Coturnix japonica: one gene and its partners. The main gene of each other region encodes a partner of the protein of the gene in region 4 in a complex. Links are inferred from orthologs where the notes say so. Each region holds a gene or a part of one and is shown on either strand. Other genes may lie near its edges.

What was found.
Region 1: the proteins of RAB11A (region 4) and RAB11FIP3 are in contact, whole or in part, in a crystal structure (PDB 2HV8), measured with the Homo sapiens proteins. The link is inferred for Coturnix japonica from reciprocal best matches to the Homo sapiens genes RAB11A and RAB11FIP3. Residues at the interface, in NP_004654.1 of Homo sapiens: Arg33, Ile44, Gly45, Val46, Glu47, Phe48, Ala49, Thr50, Trp65, Arg72, Arg74, Ala75, Ile76, Ala79, Tyr80, Arg82; in NP_055515.1 of Homo sapiens: Asn731, Phe732, Gln735, Ile738, Asp739, Arg740, Ile742, Val743, Met746, Glu747, Pro750, Ser751, Leu753, Glu754, Val755, Lys756.
Region 2: the proteins of RAB11A (region 4) and RAB3IP are in contact, whole or in part, in a crystal structure (PDB 4UJ5), measured with the Homo sapiens proteins. The link is inferred for Coturnix japonica from reciprocal best matches to the Homo sapiens genes RAB11A and RAB3IP. Residues at the interface, in NP_004654.1 of Homo sapiens: Phe36, Leu38, Glu39, Asp127, Leu128, Arg129, His130, Leu131, Arg132, Ala133, Pro135, Thr136, Leu156; in NP_783322.1 of Homo sapiens: Asn367, Thr368, Leu369, Ser370, Ile371, Glu372, Pro373, Asp412, Arg424, Thr428, Cys431, Asn432, Thr435, Tyr439, Leu444, Val445, Lys446, Gln447, Gln448.
Region 3: the proteins of RAB11A (region 4) and SH3BP5 are in contact, whole or in part, in a crystal structure (PDB 6IXV), measured with the Homo sapiens proteins. The link is inferred for Coturnix japonica from reciprocal best matches to the Homo sapiens genes RAB11A and SH3BP5. Residues at the interface, in NP_004654.1 of Homo sapiens: Tyr8, Asp9, Tyr10, Leu11, Lys13, Glu35, Phe36, Asn37, Leu38, Glu39, Ser40, Ser42, Thr43, Ile44, Phe48, Lys58, Gln63, Trp65, Tyr73, Ile76, Ala79, Arg82, Gly83; in NP_004835.2 of Homo sapiens: Asp42, Ile45, Gln46, Leu49, Glu50, Asn53, Thr56, Ile59, Asn60, Glu63, Thr64, Glu67, Lys240, Tyr243, Leu247, Leu250, Glu251, Ile253, Ser254, Asp255, Ile257, His258, Arg261.
Region 5: the proteins of RAB11A (region 4) and RAB11FIP2 are in contact, whole or in part, in a crystal structure (PDB 2GZD), measured with the Homo sapiens proteins. The link is inferred for Coturnix japonica from reciprocal best matches to the Homo sapiens genes RAB11A and RAB11FIP2. Residues at the interface, in NP_004654.1 of Homo sapiens: Arg33, Ile44, Gly45, Val46, Glu47, Phe48, Ala49, Thr50, Lys61, Trp65, Arg72, Arg74, Ala75, Ile76, Ala79, Tyr80, Arg82; in NP_055719.1 of Homo sapiens: Glu478, Ile481, Asp482, Asn483, Leu485, Val486, Met489, Glu490, Pro493, Ser494, Leu496, Arg497, Val498.

The regions. Positions count from the first base shown.
Region 1 is NC_029529.1:11,456,095-11,459,610, reverse strand, and holds part of RAB11FIP3 (rab11 family-interacting protein 3), read right to left. Parts: intron 1,549-3,516; coding exon 1,455-1,548; intron 694-1,454; coding exon 590-693; intron 1-589. UniProt on the Homo sapiens protein: Downstream effector molecule for Rab11 GTPase which is involved in endocytic trafficking, cytokinesis and intracellular ciliogenesis by participating in membrane delivery. Recruited by Rab11 to endosomes where it links Rab11 to dynein motor complex.
Region 2 is NC_029516.1:32,272,511-32,276,026, reverse strand, and holds part of RAB3IP (rab-3A-interacting protein), read right to left. Parts: intron 416-3,516; coding exon 287-415; intron 1-286. UniProt on the Homo sapiens protein: Guanine nucleotide exchange factor (GEF) which may activate RAB8A and RAB8B. Promotes the exchange of GDP to GTP, converting inactive GDP-bound Rab proteins into their active GTP-bound form.
Region 3 is NC_029517.1:38,182,606-38,186,121, reverse strand, and holds part of SH3BP5 (SH3 domain-binding protein 5), read right to left. Parts: intron 382-3,516; coding exon 251-381; intron 1-250. UniProt on the Homo sapiens protein: Functions as a guanine nucleotide exchange factor (GEF) with specificity for RAB11A and RAB25. Inhibits the auto- and transphosphorylation activity of BTK. Plays a negative regulatory role in BTK-related cytoplasmic signaling in B-cells.
Region 4 is NC_029525.1:16,462,712-16,465,177, forward strand, and holds the end of RAB11A (ras-related protein Rab-11A), read left to right. Parts: intron 1-233; coding exon 234-373; 3' UTR 374-1,952; downstream 1,953-2,466. UniProt on the Homo sapiens protein: The small GTPases Rab are key regulators of intracellular membrane trafficking, from the formation of transport vesicles to their fusion with membranes.
Region 5 is NC_029521.1:26,301,619-26,305,610, reverse strand, and holds the start of RAB11FIP2 (rab11 family-interacting protein 2), read left to right. Parts: upstream 1-1,186; 5' UTR 1,187-1,443; coding exon 1,444-1,796; intron 1,797-3,992. UniProt on the Homo sapiens protein: A Rab11 effector binding preferentially phosphatidylinositol 3,4,5-trisphosphate (PtdInsP3) and phosphatidic acid (PA) and acting in the regulation of the transport of vesicles from the endosomal recycling compartment (ERC) to the plasma membrane.

The DNA of each region.
Region 1 (3,516 bases), on a different chromosome or scaffold from region 4:
TGGCTCAGATAAAGCCATTCTTCAACCAGCAGCGAGTACAAGGCTTGATTAAAAGCCGGCTGACACTTCTGGGCCAAGCTGCTAAAGTGAAAACATTCCCCTCCGCTGCAGAGTTTATCAGGGCTTAGAGAAACCTTTGTTTGAATCGCTCGGTTCCATGACACAGCTGTTACTTAACAGCCTTACAGCCCTATAGATAACTCCTGGAGGGTTTATCTGCGGGTGTAAATATGCTGCTGGAGCCTGCCAGCTCGGGGAGGGCAGCCATCAGTTACCGTGGGATCCACAGGGCTGCAGCGGGGGCTGAAAACATCGGGGCTGGGGCTGTGATAGGGCAGAGCAGGCACAGACTGTGCTGCACATCCACCTGAGCAGAGCTCTCCAGGAGACACCAACCTGCAGCCCCCCAAGCCAACCCCTGGGGCCGCACAGAGAGGTGGGCACACAGGGAAATACCCACAGAGCTCCGTATTTGCATTCAACTGAGCAGAATATTTGCACAGAGAGAGTCCAGGGCATTTGCCCATGACCCTAAAAAGCTCCCATGGAACCTGATGATCCTGCAGGAGAGCCTGGCCAGCTCCTTTACCTGTGCACCAGCTGCAGGTTCTCCTGCTTGAGGCGGCTGTGCTGCTCGCCATTGGCAGCCGTGTCCTTCTCCAGCTCCGTCACCCGCTTCTCCAGAAAGACCACCTGGGTGGGAGAGAGGCACAGCTCAGCACAGACCCCCAGCAACAGGCAGAGCATTGCTCCCAACCCCCCCTCAAAGCAGAAGCCACCCACAAGGGGATGGCAGCCAGGCTTTTGCTCAGGTCCTATGCTTTACAGTGCCCTGGTTTCCCATGTGTCCCAAGTAGAAACATGCCTCCCTGCTTCATTCCTTCATAACAAGATGCTACAGCAATGCCCAGAGCAAAGCACCCCGGCTGGGTCTCATCCACAACCATGCACAAACAAAGCAGCCAGCAGCACATCAGCAGAACCTGAGCCACCGTGCTGCTGTGCTGGGGAAGCAGGCAATTGATGCTGCAAACAGCCACATATACACTTCCCTTTCCCACACAGCTCCCTGCTCCTGACTGCACAGCTAAAAAAAAGCCATTTTGAAGGAGTTTTGTGGCTGCAGCAAACATTTACTCAAGGCAGAGCTCACTCATCTTTCACTTTCCATCTTTCCCCTTGCTATTCTTAACCAGGGGTGCTTCAACAACAGCCTCCTGGTCCTCCTTGCTTTACCATCCCACAAGGACCAGCATGAAGATGCTGTCACCTGCAAGCAGGTGGCACGCTGACCCCAGAGACAGGGCTCTTTGCATAGGGACAGAGGGCACCCAGGTTATGTCCTCCTCATTCAAAGCAGTAAGAGAAGCTTCAGCCCAGCCCTGGCCCATCCATCCCAAAGCCCTTCATGCCACCGATGAGTGCCATTTGGGCACACACAGCCTTGCTCCTACCTTGTCCGTGATGTCCTCTTCTGTGCACTCCAACGTGTCCCGGTAGGACTCCTCCATCGCCCCTCCAGACAAAGTGCTGGTCTGGTGCAGCTGTCTGTAACACAGCAAAGCCACCCCAACCCACAGCAGGGCGACCATCAGGGCCATCATAGGCAGGCAGAGCGACTCCAGCTGACAACACCCACACGATGCAGCCCCTCTCCCTCCCCCCCAGCTGCCACCTCCTTCCCTGGTGCTGGCAGAGCACTGCTCCTCATCAGGCAGCCTCTTACCAGAGCCCCAGCAGCAGCGTGCAGACGTGGACACATGCTGCAGGGACTTCACACTGCGATCATCTGCACTCGGTCTTTGGAATAGGAGATAAGAGCCCCCGCTTTTCACTTTCTCTCTTTAAGAACATGTGTCATCCACCAAAGGACGGAGTACTCTGCCCTTGCCACTGATAAAGTGAACTGCTGGGGGCAGTGGATGGGAAGAGAAACAGAACCCTGAGCTTGTTGGGAAACAACCATCTCAGCTGAGCCACAGATGAGAGCAAGCTAATCATTAGCCAGGCCTTGCGACATTGGTGGTCACAGCTCTGTATGCACCTAAGGACACTGCCCAGCTCTGATTGGTGCTAATTGTGCCACCACTGCAATTAACTCCATCGCTGTGTGGCACCAGCAGAGCTGGTTGTTGTAGTGCAGCCCTATGGACCCAGGATGCTGCCTGGAGCAAAGCACGGCTGTTCCCATTGCAATGTGGGGTCAGAGCCTGGTACCCGCAGGGCTCACACACACACACAGGGTCTGCCAGCAGTGGGGTCAGCTCAGGTTAAGTGACACATGCCCACGGTTTGGGCAGTCCCCTTCCCTCCCTATAAAGGGCAGTGGGTGTTTCCCTGCCCTCCCACCCCCATCCCATGGATCTCTGCTGTCCCTCTGGGACCCAGACAGGCTGGCCAGGCTTTGAAACCAGCGCTGCTTCAAGCAGGAGGAGAGCAAGAGGTCTCTTCAAACCTAAATTATCCACTGATTATGTCATCTGGGCTCTGAAACTCACCCTGCTACACAATATGCTCATGCAAATATTCATGAAGCGTGGCTGGCATTTACTGAAGAGACCACAGCTGAGTACCAGCCTTGTTTTGCTTCCTTGCCCTGGCTACATATTTAGATTCTGAAGTCTTGGGCACATTTGTCATTTAAATCGTGCCAAGCACAACAGGGCCCGAGCAGCAGAGATTTCTTGGCACAAGCAAAACACAGGGAACAAAAGTCATGGAAAGAGCCCTGACCAAAATAAAACCTACTTCCCATAAGCAAACATTACGCTGTAATTATACGACCTGCAACAAAGAGTTTTGGCTGATCTGAAGGAGCTGGCTCTTCTTTGTGGTTACCATGCAGGGCTCCCCATGGGGTTAACTTGAATCCTGCCCTCTGCTCTGCCAGGCAGGGGACAGAAGGTGATCCTGATACAGGAAGCATGGGACAGCCTGCTCCCTTCTGCCTTCTTTCCTGCCCGTGTTTTTAACAAAGGTCTCCAAAGTGAGACAAGTGGAAGGAGGAAATTTAATATCAAAGCCTCGCTTCCTTTCCAGGAGGACAGATTTGCTGATCACAGGAAAAATTGGGAAGGGCAGGGCGAGATGATGAGGTTTAGGGCAGCTCCTGAATGCTTGGATTGCTGCACACCATGCACTGGAGCACGGGGCTGCTGGAGTCTGTGTGTTTAGAGGGAGCATTGTGACTTCTGCAGTGCCCACCCCCTGCTTGGAAAAGGGCAAAGGGAAAGGCAAAGACTTTGGAGGGCAGCGTTCCTCCCAAGCAGGACAGGACAGAGAAGGGTCACCTTGTGAATAAAAGCAGGACATGGGAAGACGGTGCAGCCAGCAGAGGAGAGAGGGGTGCATGGAGACAGGACGGACCCCGGAGCAAAGTGCTGCCTTTCCTGGGCAATCTGAGATAAAAACACCCACCAGGCAAGGGCAGCTGGTACATGAACAAGCCTTAGGACAGTCCCACAGGGCAGAAAAAGCAATGTAACAGGAGGGCTACCTGTGGCTGCCCCCAGAACT
Region 2 (3,516 bases), on a different chromosome or scaffold from region 4:
GGGAAAACTCATCACTCCTTCCTACAAACACTTACTCTGATAGGCAGTATTAACACAGAAAGAGGTAGACAGCCTCCACCTAAGAAAGCCACATCTAAAATAGGAAATGGAAAAGAAAAACTGATCACTTCAATACTCCAGACCAAACTTGGGTATTTCACTGTAAACTTTCATACTCCGGTGAAACAAAAATGTTTGAACTTCATACGTAAATTAAGATAGTCTACTGGTTCCATGTAACATATTTAAATAAAAAGCATCAGTGACAACACTTAAGAGTACATACCTCACTTTTTGAGAAGGTTAAACATGGAAAAATATCTTCCCGATAGATTTTGTCCAAGAATGGGCATGTTCTGTCCATAGTAGGCTCATCCTTCCATGATCTGAATTCATTGTACAAAGACAGGTCAGCCTAAAACACACAGAGTCGCAGATTTTAAATACTGTAATTATCACACTAGCAACTGGCCATCTACAGGTATCCACAGGTAAACAGTGATCATTAAAACTCAGTTTTCTACCACGCTGTAGAAGAATACTATTATATCCCAGCAACAAACACCTTCAACTCACTTTCCCAAGATGCGTGGTACCACCTTGATTTAGCCAAACTGGCTTTGAGATTGTTGACACAGACTTCAGCACCTTTTCACTCCAACTGGCTGTTAAATCCTATTCTTGTATTGTAATAGGTTTGTATTCCTAAAACCAAAAGGGAATACAATGAAGGGAAAGACACTGCAGGCCAAACACAGGCCAGGAAGGTTAGAGGCATCAAAGACCACGCAACAAAAGGAAGAAAATGTCATGTAGAAAAAGTGCCTCTAGAAATGGCAGGCAGTCATGGAGAATAAAGAAAAAAAAACACTAAATGCGCAGCCAAAGCACAGAAGACAAACAAAAAGGTTACTAAAGTGGAAAAATGAGAAGCAGATCCTAATGCTGCTCCCTCTGCGGGCTTCTTAGGTTGCTGCTCCACTCCAGAGTACAAAGAGAAGCAAAGTGAATGCAAAAAGAGCAAACAAGAATGAAAAGCGGTATTTTGGAAGAAAACATTTTCAAGAAAACACTAGACATATAAATACTGCTTTCATAATATGTATCTCCATAAAGCCAATGTGACTTGAAAGTCTTGGAATATCAGAAGCAACTAATACAGACAGGAGCATGAAAAAATGAACACATACGCTAGGAGCTGAAACTGTTTTTTAATCCATTTTAAAAGAGCAATACACTGCTTTGAACCAGCCTCTTTGGGTCTTTTATTCTTTACCACCCCTTCTCTGAGTTTCCAGCACTTAACCATTCTTTTACATTTCAGGAAGATTTTTTATGGCTTTTTTCCCCTCCCCCTCCCTCCTTGAAAAAGAACCCACAAAAATTAGACAGGCAAATTTGTTTTCCATTAGAGCTACTTGTCTTGCACTCAGGTACAATCAGGAACAACCATCTTAATTAAACTAGTCCATAACTGTTCTGGTTGCTAAGCCACCAACCTCACTGCACAAATGAAACTCAATAGGTGTAACTTGCTCCCTGAATGAACATTTCCTATACCTTAAAACCCACCTAGGTTTGGCTTTAAAATAAATACAACCACGAGACATCAGCAGGAAAAAAACCCGCTATTTTAGAACTAGACAGCAGAAATCAAGTGGTAATGCATTTCTTAGTAATTACTGATTATTTTCTACATCTAACAAAACTTCACCCAAATATACAATTTATAAAAAAAAAAAAAAAAAGCTGCCTTGAAAAAATTGCTCAATAACTATAGCTTGATGTTCCTTCTTTCCAACCTACAGTGTGCTATGTGTATATCTGCACTCTGTCTTTACTTGCACTTCCACTAGATCCAAGTTCTTATTACCTGCAACAGAGAAACACTTCAGCTTTTGGGAGAATAACATAAATCAACTGACACATTTAGCTTTTACATTGGGTATAGATGCTCAGTTTATCTAAATCCTGTTCATGAATTCTGAATTAGTTAGACACATCCACTTATCCTTGAGGTTACTCGTGCATAATAGGAACTATCTGTCTGGGATGTTGGTACTGTTGGGATGGATTTCCTGCAGTTTATCCTTTACACATTGACCACTTTCTTTCCATGGGAAATTGAAACAAAAACAGATTTTTCCCTCTTCATGCTCTTGGCCCAATATTTAAAACCTTTATTTAGTCAAATCCTCAATATGATGCTTACAAAGTAGTTAGATTCCATGCCAGTTCTCCCCTTTTTGTTAAATCTTTCTGAAGAGCAAGAAGATCAATTTAAATAAGAAAAATATCCTGAATACCACTGAAAGTAAGTAAGCAGGATTTTGGGTTGTTGGATTTTATTTTATCACTGGAAACATAACAATCCCTTCTCTAGATCTTTAATGAAAAGACAGATAGTATAAATTCACTTAATGATGACTGACAAAACAAAGTATAAAAATGACCATTGTAAATCATATTACAGGTCTAGTTAGCTCATCAGTCTCTCTAATGACCTGCAATGACTGAGGGCTGCCTGTAAACAGCATAGAAGAAATATAGCCATGTGCATTCCTTATATGTTCTCCCAACTTCTAGCAATTTGTAATTAAATAAGCTTCCTGATCCAGAAATCATGTGTATTTGTATGTACCTCAATGGGCTTTTCTGTTGCAACTTCGCATAATTTTCAACACTGTTTTCTGTCCTGTTGTCACTTTGTGACAATTAGTTATTAGATTTAGTTATATACTGACTAAAAATGATTTTCCTTCTAGTTTCCAGAGTGTTCTCATTACAGGAAATAATTACTACTGGCTCACCATTCATCTTCTCCATGTCACTTGCGATCATATACATTTTTGTCCTGCTTTCAGAAAGTCTCAACATAAAGAGCCCTAGTCTCCCTAGGGCTCTCCCTAGTCAGAGAAAGACTTTGATCACCCATCACATTTATTTGCATTTTTTACTGTTTTATTTCAGAGATGGAAGTACAGCTGCGTGCAAAACAGGATGCACATATTTACTCCATGTTTATAAAGCAGTATCATTCTTTTTTCATTTATTCCTTTCCTAACAAGTCCTAAGGGTTTGTGGATCTTTGACCATCACTAAGCACTGACATAGTACCTCAAGAGAATTATCCACAAGCACACTACATTTTTTTCTTCATCATGTAGCCTACTCTAAGTCAAAAAACTGCATATGCCTGCTAGAGCTGCATTTTATTTTCCAGATACATCATTTCTCATTTATTTATTTTGAATTTCACCTGCAGTTTCACTACTCATTCACCATCAGGACATTCAGCCTTGTCACAGCTCTTAGATTATTTTCACCAAGCTGCTGCCTCCGTATTTCCCCATTCTTAATGGCATGAGAAGATAAACCCAAGGCCCTCAAAGGACTCCCTCCTATTCTCTAACAATCTACCATTGATTCAGTTTTTCCTCCACTCTCTTTCAATTTCCTCTCTTCCTCTTTTCCTGTGGCAACTGGTGCCAGATTTGGAAAAAAAATAAAAATAAA
Region 3 (3,516 bases), on a different chromosome or scaffold from region 4:
TTTGCAGCTTCAGGGTTTTGTTTTGTTGTGTTTTTTCTTCTGTTTAATCCCATATGCCTCGTTCTCAAGTCACTCATTACGGAAGATTTCAGTGCACTAAAACACAACTAAGAATACACCCAGGAAACTTCTCTAGTACAATTTGTGCTGCAAAGGACAACATCTTTTCACAGGTTTCCAAAATCCCACAGAATCCCCTGTCCCATGAACAGACTTGACCACTAAACTCATCTCCAAGTGTGAAACCTACTTTGATTTATTGATGGCTCTTTTCAGCTTCTTTTCCAGCTGCTTCATCCTCCCCATGGCAGCATTGTATTTGGCTGCGGTCTCCTTGTGAACCAACTCACTTCTTGTCTTGGTTTGTTCTGCCTCCATGACCTGTAAGAAGGAAAACAGAGGTTGAGGGGCAAGACCCAAGCATCCATTTCTTACCATTTTTATTAACATTATATCTACAATCTCTCAAATTAGGAAGGGGCTGAAGATGAACCAGAGGGATAAGAAGACAGCATGCAGTTCAGCCTGTCCCCTCTATCTGAAGCACCAGCTACCAGAAAGCAGCCCATCCAATGAGACAGCCTTTGTCATAGAATCCATGAAGGCTGGAAAGACCACTCAGATCATCTAGTCCAGCCATCAACCCATCACCACCATACCACACTATTCAGTGTTATATCTATCCTTTCCTTGAGCACCTATAGGGGCAGTGACTCCACCAGCTCCCCTATAGCCTGTTTTGCAGAAGACAAGGAAGCTGCCTTTCCTCTTGAAAGAGACAGCCAGCCTCAAATCGTGACTTCAACATCAAAAAAGCTTTGGGCCATGAACTGGTCCACTACAATGCAGGTGGGGAGCATTATGCTGAAGATCAGCCCCTAACCAGGGCAGGCAGATGCCTAAGGCACAGCAGTCCCATTGGCTGCCCTGCCAGCATCCTACAGTCATGTTTTCCCAGTAATTCTGTCTACGGTACTTTCATTTTGCAGATTTGAGCTGCCTGAGGCACCAGAAAATCTGTTTTCTCTAATGCACTGGCAGACAGGATTTAGCAAGAGACAGAACTGATTTGTTTAAAGGAATAGAAGTGGTGACACCTCTCCATTGGTCTGACAGTAAGCAGAAAGCAGGCGGTCTTCAGGCATCCCTTGTTTCAACCCTGAAAGTATTCACAGAAAAATGCCATGGGCCAAATCTGCACTACATCCCCATCAGCTGGAAGGTCGGCTGCCAAACTGGAGGCCACAGTTACTCCTCTGCACTCACCACTTGTTATTACACCAAAGTTGCTATCTGTGAACTAAAAGATCTGATTACACATATACTACGACAACCTTCAACTGCTTCACATGTGAATAAGGCATCCACATTTGAAGTTTAAAAAATAAGAAAGAAATCTGATTGATAGCAGACATTCCCCTGAATCCCAGAAACAAGTTATAGCCTCTCATCTTGAAGTCTCAGAAAGCAAGGTTGATGCAAAGACCTTCCCTGGTGAAATATGCCAGCCAAGGCTGGTTTTAGCATGGAACTGACATAAATTAGAATGCGGTCTCCAAGGACTGCACAAAACCTGGTTTGCTCCTTTGTAGTGTGGCAAGGCAACCGCAATTTACAAATGCTGCAAGCTACAGAATAATAGAGCAACTGAAACGTGCTGATTCTTAATTAAATGCCAATCCTTGCCATCCATTCTTGGGGTGAAATCAGCATGGGATCAACCACTTCAGCACTATCAGCACCATGGTCTTCTAACAGGTGAGGTGTTCTGCCTCTCGTGGACTTCACACATCTTTCACATCAAACACCATAAAAATGCTTCATCCTGCAAGACAGATTTGGGGATGACAGATTGTAAACACCTCAAACTATGTGACAAAATACGGAATTTGCAGCCAGATATCTACGCCCACATTTGTTACCCTTTTTGGAAGGGAAAAAAAAGCTGCATACTTCATCTCCCTGGGAAATCAGCATTGGGAGGCAAGCTTCTCCTCCTGCTGTGTGGCTCTTATACGGTCATGCTACCAGCCTGCTCACATTACCCAAGTGCTCTGCCCAAGGGAGTACAGCTCACAGTGTGTTCGCTAGGCTGAAGACATGGACGTGATCCTACAGCACCTGGAAGGCTGTTCCACATCAGTATCACCACAGAGAGCTGCCTCCTGTCAGGATGTATTTAAACCTTTCACCCAGTCAAGAAGAAACAAAAAGGTCATCTGCTTCTTCACGGAAGCAGAACAGCGCCTTAACATAGAATCTGTCTGCCAGGACATGTGGATAGAAACAGCCTAGGTTCTACTCTAGGCAAGTCAGTGAAAACCCTCAGCTTTTAAAAAGGTCTTAGTAGAGGACAGATGAAGTTTGTGTGGGGGAAAAGCATCAAACAAGTTTTTGGTCACACCATCTGAATACGCTTCTTTCTAATGTAAGACAGTGCTTCTACCGACAAACCTTGCCAAGGCCATCACAGATGCAAGATCATCTCCTTCAAAAAGCCAGAGACAAGAGTGAAGATGACACCTGCTCATAGGTATCAATCACTTCCTCTTTCCTCATCTACCCTCTGTTTCCAACCCAGATGCCATGGAAAGGAGGGTCAGTACAAAATATATATATCTAGCAAATAGGTCTGCGCAAGTGGCTTTGTCCCTCTCAGCCAAGAAATCTTCATCAGCTGAGGTCAAAGATGGACTTCAGGCAAATTTCAGCAATAGCAGCTGCAAAAGAAACATTTGCCAGTGAGATTTAACAAACCTGATCATCTGAGCCAGAGAATTACTCTGGACATCTGTTTCTTTCTCTAAAAAATTAAATGGGCGACTCTTCTAGAAGAAGAAATAAAAGAGGTAAGACAGATAACGCAACACCAGGAAACCAGAAGGGCAGAATCAATAACACAAGGGATAAAGATAGTAGAGGGAAGAATGTAAACACTGTTTGACTTCCATGGTGAAAAGATGGAGAGATAAGAACAGAGAAAGTTGTGGGTATCCCTGTTGCTTATTCCACAGCTTCCTTCCCCCCTTTTTCTCCAAGTGGTTCTACCTGCAGGAAGTCTCTTTTCTCTCCACATCATGAAAGCTCCCACGCATTTTACACCAACAGATGGTACTTCATGGTGTAATAGCAAAAGGAGCTTTGCAAGCCAAATTAAAGCAAGAGGGAGCAAGCCTTCTCCCTCCTTCCTTCCCCCCCACCCTTTCCTTTTTAAAACGTCTAGTGATCAAGAGCCAAAACATGTCTTCTCCCTGCCAGAATTTTTCAATGGAACATACCTCACAAAAGACTGCAGATTGCTCTGGCAATTAGAAATCAGCAAGATCTCACGCAGGATCTTCTTTTCTGCTCCAGTTAGTCTCAAACTTCAGGTAATATTCTGTCAGCTCTTTTCTTTTGGATGCATTTATATCCAAGAATGACCTTTACATAATTATAAATGCAAAGATCTCTGCCCCTCATCCCTCCTTTCACTGGCCACCTGTGCCACCAACTCCAGGTACCGACAGACAGGGA
Region 4 (2,466 bases):
TTTTATTGCTTGTGGTAAAGCAGTTGTGAAAGAAATGTGTTTTGCAAAGATGGTTTATATTTAATTTATAAATACAGAAGGCATCACATTTGAACTTCTTGTGAAAGCTGCTGTGCTTATCATTGCAGAAGTGTGGGAAATCTGGGGAAGCCAAGAATTGCAGAAAGCAAAGATGTTTGCTTTCTGATGTTGCTCTGCATGCACGTAACGATGGGCTCTTTCTCATCTTCCAGAGATCTATCGTATTGTTTCCCAGAAGCAAATGTCCGACAGACGTGAGAATGATATGTCTCCAAGCAACAATGTGGTTCCCATTCATGTCCCTCCAACCACCGAAAACAAACCAAAGATGCAGTGCTGTCAGAATATATAAGAATTGTTCACTCTTTCCTAAAAGGCTGTGTATATTCCCCAGGTCCAAGATTTAAATATATTTGTAATTCTTGTGGTTACTTTCTTGTGTTCTGTTACTGCTTATTCCTTTTGAATTTCTCCATGTCTTAAACACTTTGATTTCTGTGTTTATAATCTATTGCTTCTATGTGGCTGCAGTATTTTCCCAACGCTGACTTGTTGATTTTGGTTCAGTAAATAGTTTGGAGCTGAACTGATCTCTTTGCAGCGTGATGCCCGCTAGTCAGAACACAAGATACATTTAGTGAGCACTCGAAGATGTAATTCTGCTCCTTGCAAAACAATTATTGTCAGGTTAACTAGGAGAATATCTCTGGGCAGGATAATCTGTCTTTGTCTTAAGGTGTTGTATACTGCATCTAAAGCTTGATGGAACGCCTGTTGCTCTGAAGTGCAATTTTAATGTGAAGTTAAATGTCTTTGGCTACATCTTCAGACTGTCAAGAGGAGATCTTGCTATAGAATAGCCTGGGGGAGGAGGGGTTGGGGGGGAGTGAGCAAGAATTTCTCTCAAACAAGCAGCAGGGTTCTTGCTCCCAGTGAATGAGCTTTTGTGGTTTGGCACCTGCTGCAGGGGGCTGCGGTGCAGGCAGGGCTGCTGCAGGCGCTGGTGGGACTCACGTGAGCTGCCTTTGTGAAGCTGTGTGTGTCACTGAGGGTCACGGGAACATGCAGTGTGTGTTTGTGCTGCCTGAGGCTCAGCCTCCACAGTGCCAGTGCTGTCAGGGCTTGAGGATGCCTTTTTTCTTTCATGATACACAGACTTGAAGGATGCTGTCACATATTGCCTATCGCATATCAGTACGTGCCACACACATTAAGGTATTCAGATGCTCAAGTTGATCAGTCAGTAACTGCTACAACCTGGTCTTAGTTTTCAGTTCTCTTTCATCCAGTATTTTTAAATGATACCAGTGGTCTGGTACATGTTCTGTAACAACAAACATCTGGAGTAGTTACTGGATGCATTCATTTGGTGATTATCGCTCAGCCCAACTCATCTGCTCACTTAGTTCAGGGATCCATGAACTGTGCCTTCTGTCGCTGCACTCTGAAACCACTGCGTATCACACAGTACGTGCTATTCCCAGCCGCGCCATTAACGCCGAGATGTGGGGGCTACCAGCACTGCGGTTCTACTGGATTTAAAAGAACTGTCTGTATAAATGCTGGCTGTTATCTGTACAATTAGAGGAAGTAATTGGCTGTAGGGGACGTTTCTCAAACTCTGATATGACCCACTTAGAACATCCGGATTTGGGTAGGCACTACCAGCTGCATTTCTTACCCAACCTTTCTGTCTTGCGGTGCTCATGATGTGTAAGGCACACGGAAGGCATTGCTGTAGTCGGTCACTTTTTTTTTTGTTTTTAAATCCATTTCTCCTCCTAATATTAGTTCTGAAGATGCTACTTTCGATCTGTTTGTAAATTACTTTGTATTTTATGCATGTACTGTAACTTGATTCATTATTTTTTTAGATTGATTTAAAATATATTCATCCATGATTCTAATAAAGAATTACAGGGGACAACTCAGCATGGTGTTGGGTGCGCTTTTTGGGAGAAGTGGGATTTGACTTTAATGTTTTTACTTGTTAGCAACTAGTACCATTTCTTGGAACCGGGAGGACACACCAAAGTGGAAGTACTCCCAGAAGGGGAACTGGAAGGGCTACATGCTGGGACCAGGCCTGCAGCTTTTAGCATGACAATTTGGCTGCTTTGGGCTGCCTTTATGGTGTGAAGAATGAGGACTCTGTCTTACCAAATCCCTGAATAGCTTTTACAAACCTCATTTTTCCACATTACCACCAGTAAAAAAAAATAAATCCTATGGAATGACAGACTGCTGCCTTCTACAACAAACTATTTCAGCTGTTTGATCCTACCTGGTTGCCTTCTGCTGGAGGAGTGGTGCCATAGGAGCCAGCCTGCTGAGCACTGTGAGTTTTGGAAGTCACCTCAAGAGCACGTGGCAGCACTGAATCCTTCTGCCTGAACAGGCCTTTTGGGCCTCGGTATTGCCAGAGTCAAGACAAGGTATAAAGTG
Region 5 (3,992 bases), on a different chromosome or scaffold from region 4:
CTATCGGAGCATGCAGACAAATATCCAGCTCACAGTCAAAACTTAAGGGTCATCCAAGTAGTTATTTAAATTGTTAAAGATAACATGAGCTTGGACTCAGCCTGTAAAGGGAAACTAATGACTGTGTGCCGAGCAGTGATCCCCAACCTCACCTGACCTCAGACAATAACTCGCTCAGCGTTATGTGGTGCGGGCAACATCTTACTTTACTCTCCCTAATGGCCTTCAACTTTAACTTTTTAATTTCCTGTAGCTCAGAGCAGCAGGAGAAGGTTTCCCAAGCGTTTGTTGCTCACTAACCCACGAGCCAGGGCTGGGGACGTGTAAGGGGAGGATGATGAGGCTTGGTTCTCTGCTTGCTGTGGGTTACATGATGGGATACAGAGCCTTCAACCCTCACTGCACGCAGGTTTTTGGGTAGCACTGAGGCTGTGTCTGTCACTCTGCTTAATGCTGCATATATATGTGTGCATCGACTCCACAGAAGTGCACACAAGAGAGCTGTTTTCACACCCTCACTTTAATCAAACAGAATGGTCAGGGTGGGGTGGGTAAAAAAACAAGTTCCATAACTTCCACAGGCGGTTTGCACCAGGACAAGGGCCCGAGCTGGACCAGCCCGAAGCGGCCGCGGCCTGTGTACGAGGGGCTCCTTCCCTCGGCGCTCACGGAGACGGGGCGGCGTGGAGAGGCGCAGAGCTCTCCCTCCTATCTACAAAGCTCTGAACGAAGGGAGCCGCTGCGTTCAGGCGGAACTCAGCCTCATGCCTCCCGTTCCCTTCCGCCCCAGCCGGGCACCGCCGCCGGGAGAAAGGGAAGGGGAAAGGAAGGGAAAGGAAAGGAAGGGAAGCACCGCCCGCCCGGCGGCCGCGGGGAGGAGGCGAACCCTGCCCTCTGCCCTCTGACCGCCGCCGCTGCCGCCGCCGGCAGCATGGGGAAGGCGGAAGCGGCGGAGCCGGCCCGTGAGGCCGGGCGGTGCGGGGGGAGCGCGGCGAGAGGCTGAGGAGCGGGAGGGCAGCACGGAGCGGAGCGGGGCGGCGGCGAGCGCGGTCCCCTTCCGCGCTGCCCGCCGCCCTGAGGAGCGTAAGAGGCCGGGAGGCCTGCGGGGCCCGCGCTGCTACGGGGGGCTGCGGCGCGTCGGGCCGGGCGGAGGGGCCGTGGGCCTGGGGATGACCTGGGGGCGGCGGGGAACCGGGCCGGGGGCGGCACGGGGCTGTGCCGGGAAGGGCGGCGGGGCCGGCCGAGAAACCGGGAGCCTTGTAGCGATGGAGTCACCCGCAGGGCTGCCTTGGGAGGGGGAGACCTGAGCGGTGGTCGGTGCCTCCTGAGAGAAGTGCTCACCCGGGGTCGGTGGCAGGTGCCTCCGCTGTAAGTGCCCTTACGCAGTAACTTGAAGACTTAGAGACTTTGTTTTGGTTATTGCTGCTGCGGAGAGCTTCAAAGATGATGCTGGCAGAGCAAGCCCAGAAGTGGTTCCCAACTCACGTGCAAGTCACGGTTCTTCAAGCCAAAGGTCTGAAGCCCAAAGGCAAAAGTGGCACCAACGATGCGTACACCATCATCCAGCTGGGCAAGGAGAAGTACTCCACCTCTGTAGCTGAGAAGACCCTGGATCCGGTCTGGAAGGAAGAGGCCTCCTTCGAGCTGCCTGGATTGCTGATGCAGGAGAACCCAGACAGATACATCCTGTACCTGATTGTCATGCACAGGTCACTGGTGGGGCTGGACAAGTTCCTGGGACAGGTGGCCGTAAATCTGAACGATGTTTTTGAGGACAAGCAAAGAAGGAAAACAGAGTAAGTGATAGTTGTTTCTTTGCTTTAACTGTGGCCTGTTTGCTTTGTACTTTGGAGGAGGGCAGAAATGGAAGTCTTGTTATCAAAGTATTTGGAAATGAAATTGGGACATTTCTATCTTCTATGGTGTTCAAAGCCCCAGGCACATACAGTTGTGTCATTAGGGACTGAGAAGTTCTCTGTAATCACAGCGGTTATTCTGCACAGGGTAGGGCGGTCAATACATGAACATTCTTTGACAGATTATTGTGTACAATGTGAACTCATTGCAATCTGTATTTCTAATGATTTTTTTTCTCCATCCGCTCAAGGCAATATCCCCATTCAACATGTGCCCCAGTTTGAACCATGCGTAAGATTCAGTCTCTCTTGAAGCCTGATGTCCTTCGTCCTAAAAATGCTTTTCATCAACACCTGCATCCAAGTGTCTTTAAATATTCTTTAATTTATGTTTTAGTGGCCACTGAACTGTGACTTATGAAGGCTTGCCACAGCAGTGCAGTGCTTTTCTGATCCTGATTAGTCCTAGGCCGTGATCCTTGCTATATCAGGCCTCTGCGGAGAAGACAGAAGAGAACGTGCTGCTGTTGTAGTAGCCTCCATCATTACATACAGAATCATCACAATTGTCATTTGCCAGCAAATTCTAACACTAGAATTCAAGAAAACAAAAAATAAAAGTATCACAGCAGTGTATTAGGCTGAACGGTAAATGTGTCAAACTGTTATGGGGTTTTTTTTGTGTATGTTTCTCAACTTAACTAGTAAAATGGTTAGCATCTCTGGTGAGGATATGGTTGCACAAAGATATTTGGTACCAGTGTAATTTATCCTTCAAAGTTTGTGGGAATAAACTGTATAGCTGTAAGTGTACTGTTTGTATGCCTGGTACTGTTTGTTGTAGGTAGATGTGGCCCACAGAAGTAGCACAAGAATAGCATGGAGACTTCTAGGCTAGTTGTGTGTAGACACAGGTATTCTGCAGTGGTTAAAAGTTAATGCCCAGGTGTCTTTACTTCTCTCCTCTAGAGGTTAATATCTCATCTGTTGAGTAGAAGGGATCCTGTGCCCAAACCTCAGCTGTTAAAACTGTATAAGTCTGGTATTTCTTGTGTTCGCTGTGGTGGGTTTACGGTAAGATGCTGGACTTTGCATCAAAGTGACTAAGACTCTGGCATCATTTATCTTTTGCTGACTGCGCTGTGCAGGCGTCAACCTCCAGCAGAGTCAGAGCAGACAGTTGGAGACAGCAGTCAGTGCAGCAGTATTAGCCAGATCATGCTGATCAGTGCCTGAAAGCCATCCCAAAACCTGGCTCTGCTTATGTGCGGTGGTGGTTGAGGTTGAAGGAGCACTGAAGGCAGGTCAAAGCAGTCTTTGGATTGCTTTTCTTTTTTTCTTTTTCTTTTTTTCCCCCCCTTTAATTTACTAGCAAAATGATATGTTCACACATATACAAGAGAGCAAAGCATCCTTACAGAGTCTCTTGTGGGTTTGTAGTGTGAACTAATATACTTTTTAATTGCTTATCTTTTTAATGGCAGGCCAACAGCAGTAGTTCTCTTTATGCAATATGTGGTAATGCCTGTAGCTTTAGGCTCTTAATTTCTGTTTACACTGGGTTCAAGAAGTTTCAGTGCTCTTTAGACATGGATCTTAAGTACTCTTTAATCATCAGTTGTAATTATCTTGCAAGTCAGTAGACAACTGCTTTAGGTTAAACACCTTACTGCTCTGCAGGAAAAAGGTGACTGAAGAACATAAAAACGCTACTAAAAGTAAAAACTTAGTCAACGTAGATGAAAATGTCTGTTCACAAGCTGGACGAAAATAAGTAAATTATTCATGTATTACTATGAATAATGTTTTCCTTTGGGAATCATACACTTAGCATCAATTTTACTAAAAGTGTTGCTGGAGTTCTTACAAAACCATCACAAAAAAGGTGTGACTGGCAGAATAGACGCAGTGCTTGTTGCAGTGAAGTAAATATGCAAAGCCTGTCAGTATGTTTTAATAGGAAGTTTTGTTTAGTGTGGTTTCATATGTGTTCTTTATTCTTTCTTTCTCTGAAGTGTGAGAGAAGAGCTCATGCTGCATGAATGTGAAGTGATGCCTCCCCAGGCTGCTACAGAACCTGCTGGGGCTCTCCGAGCTGCCCGTGAGCCATACTGCAGGAGGTTGGGCCCCCTTGGG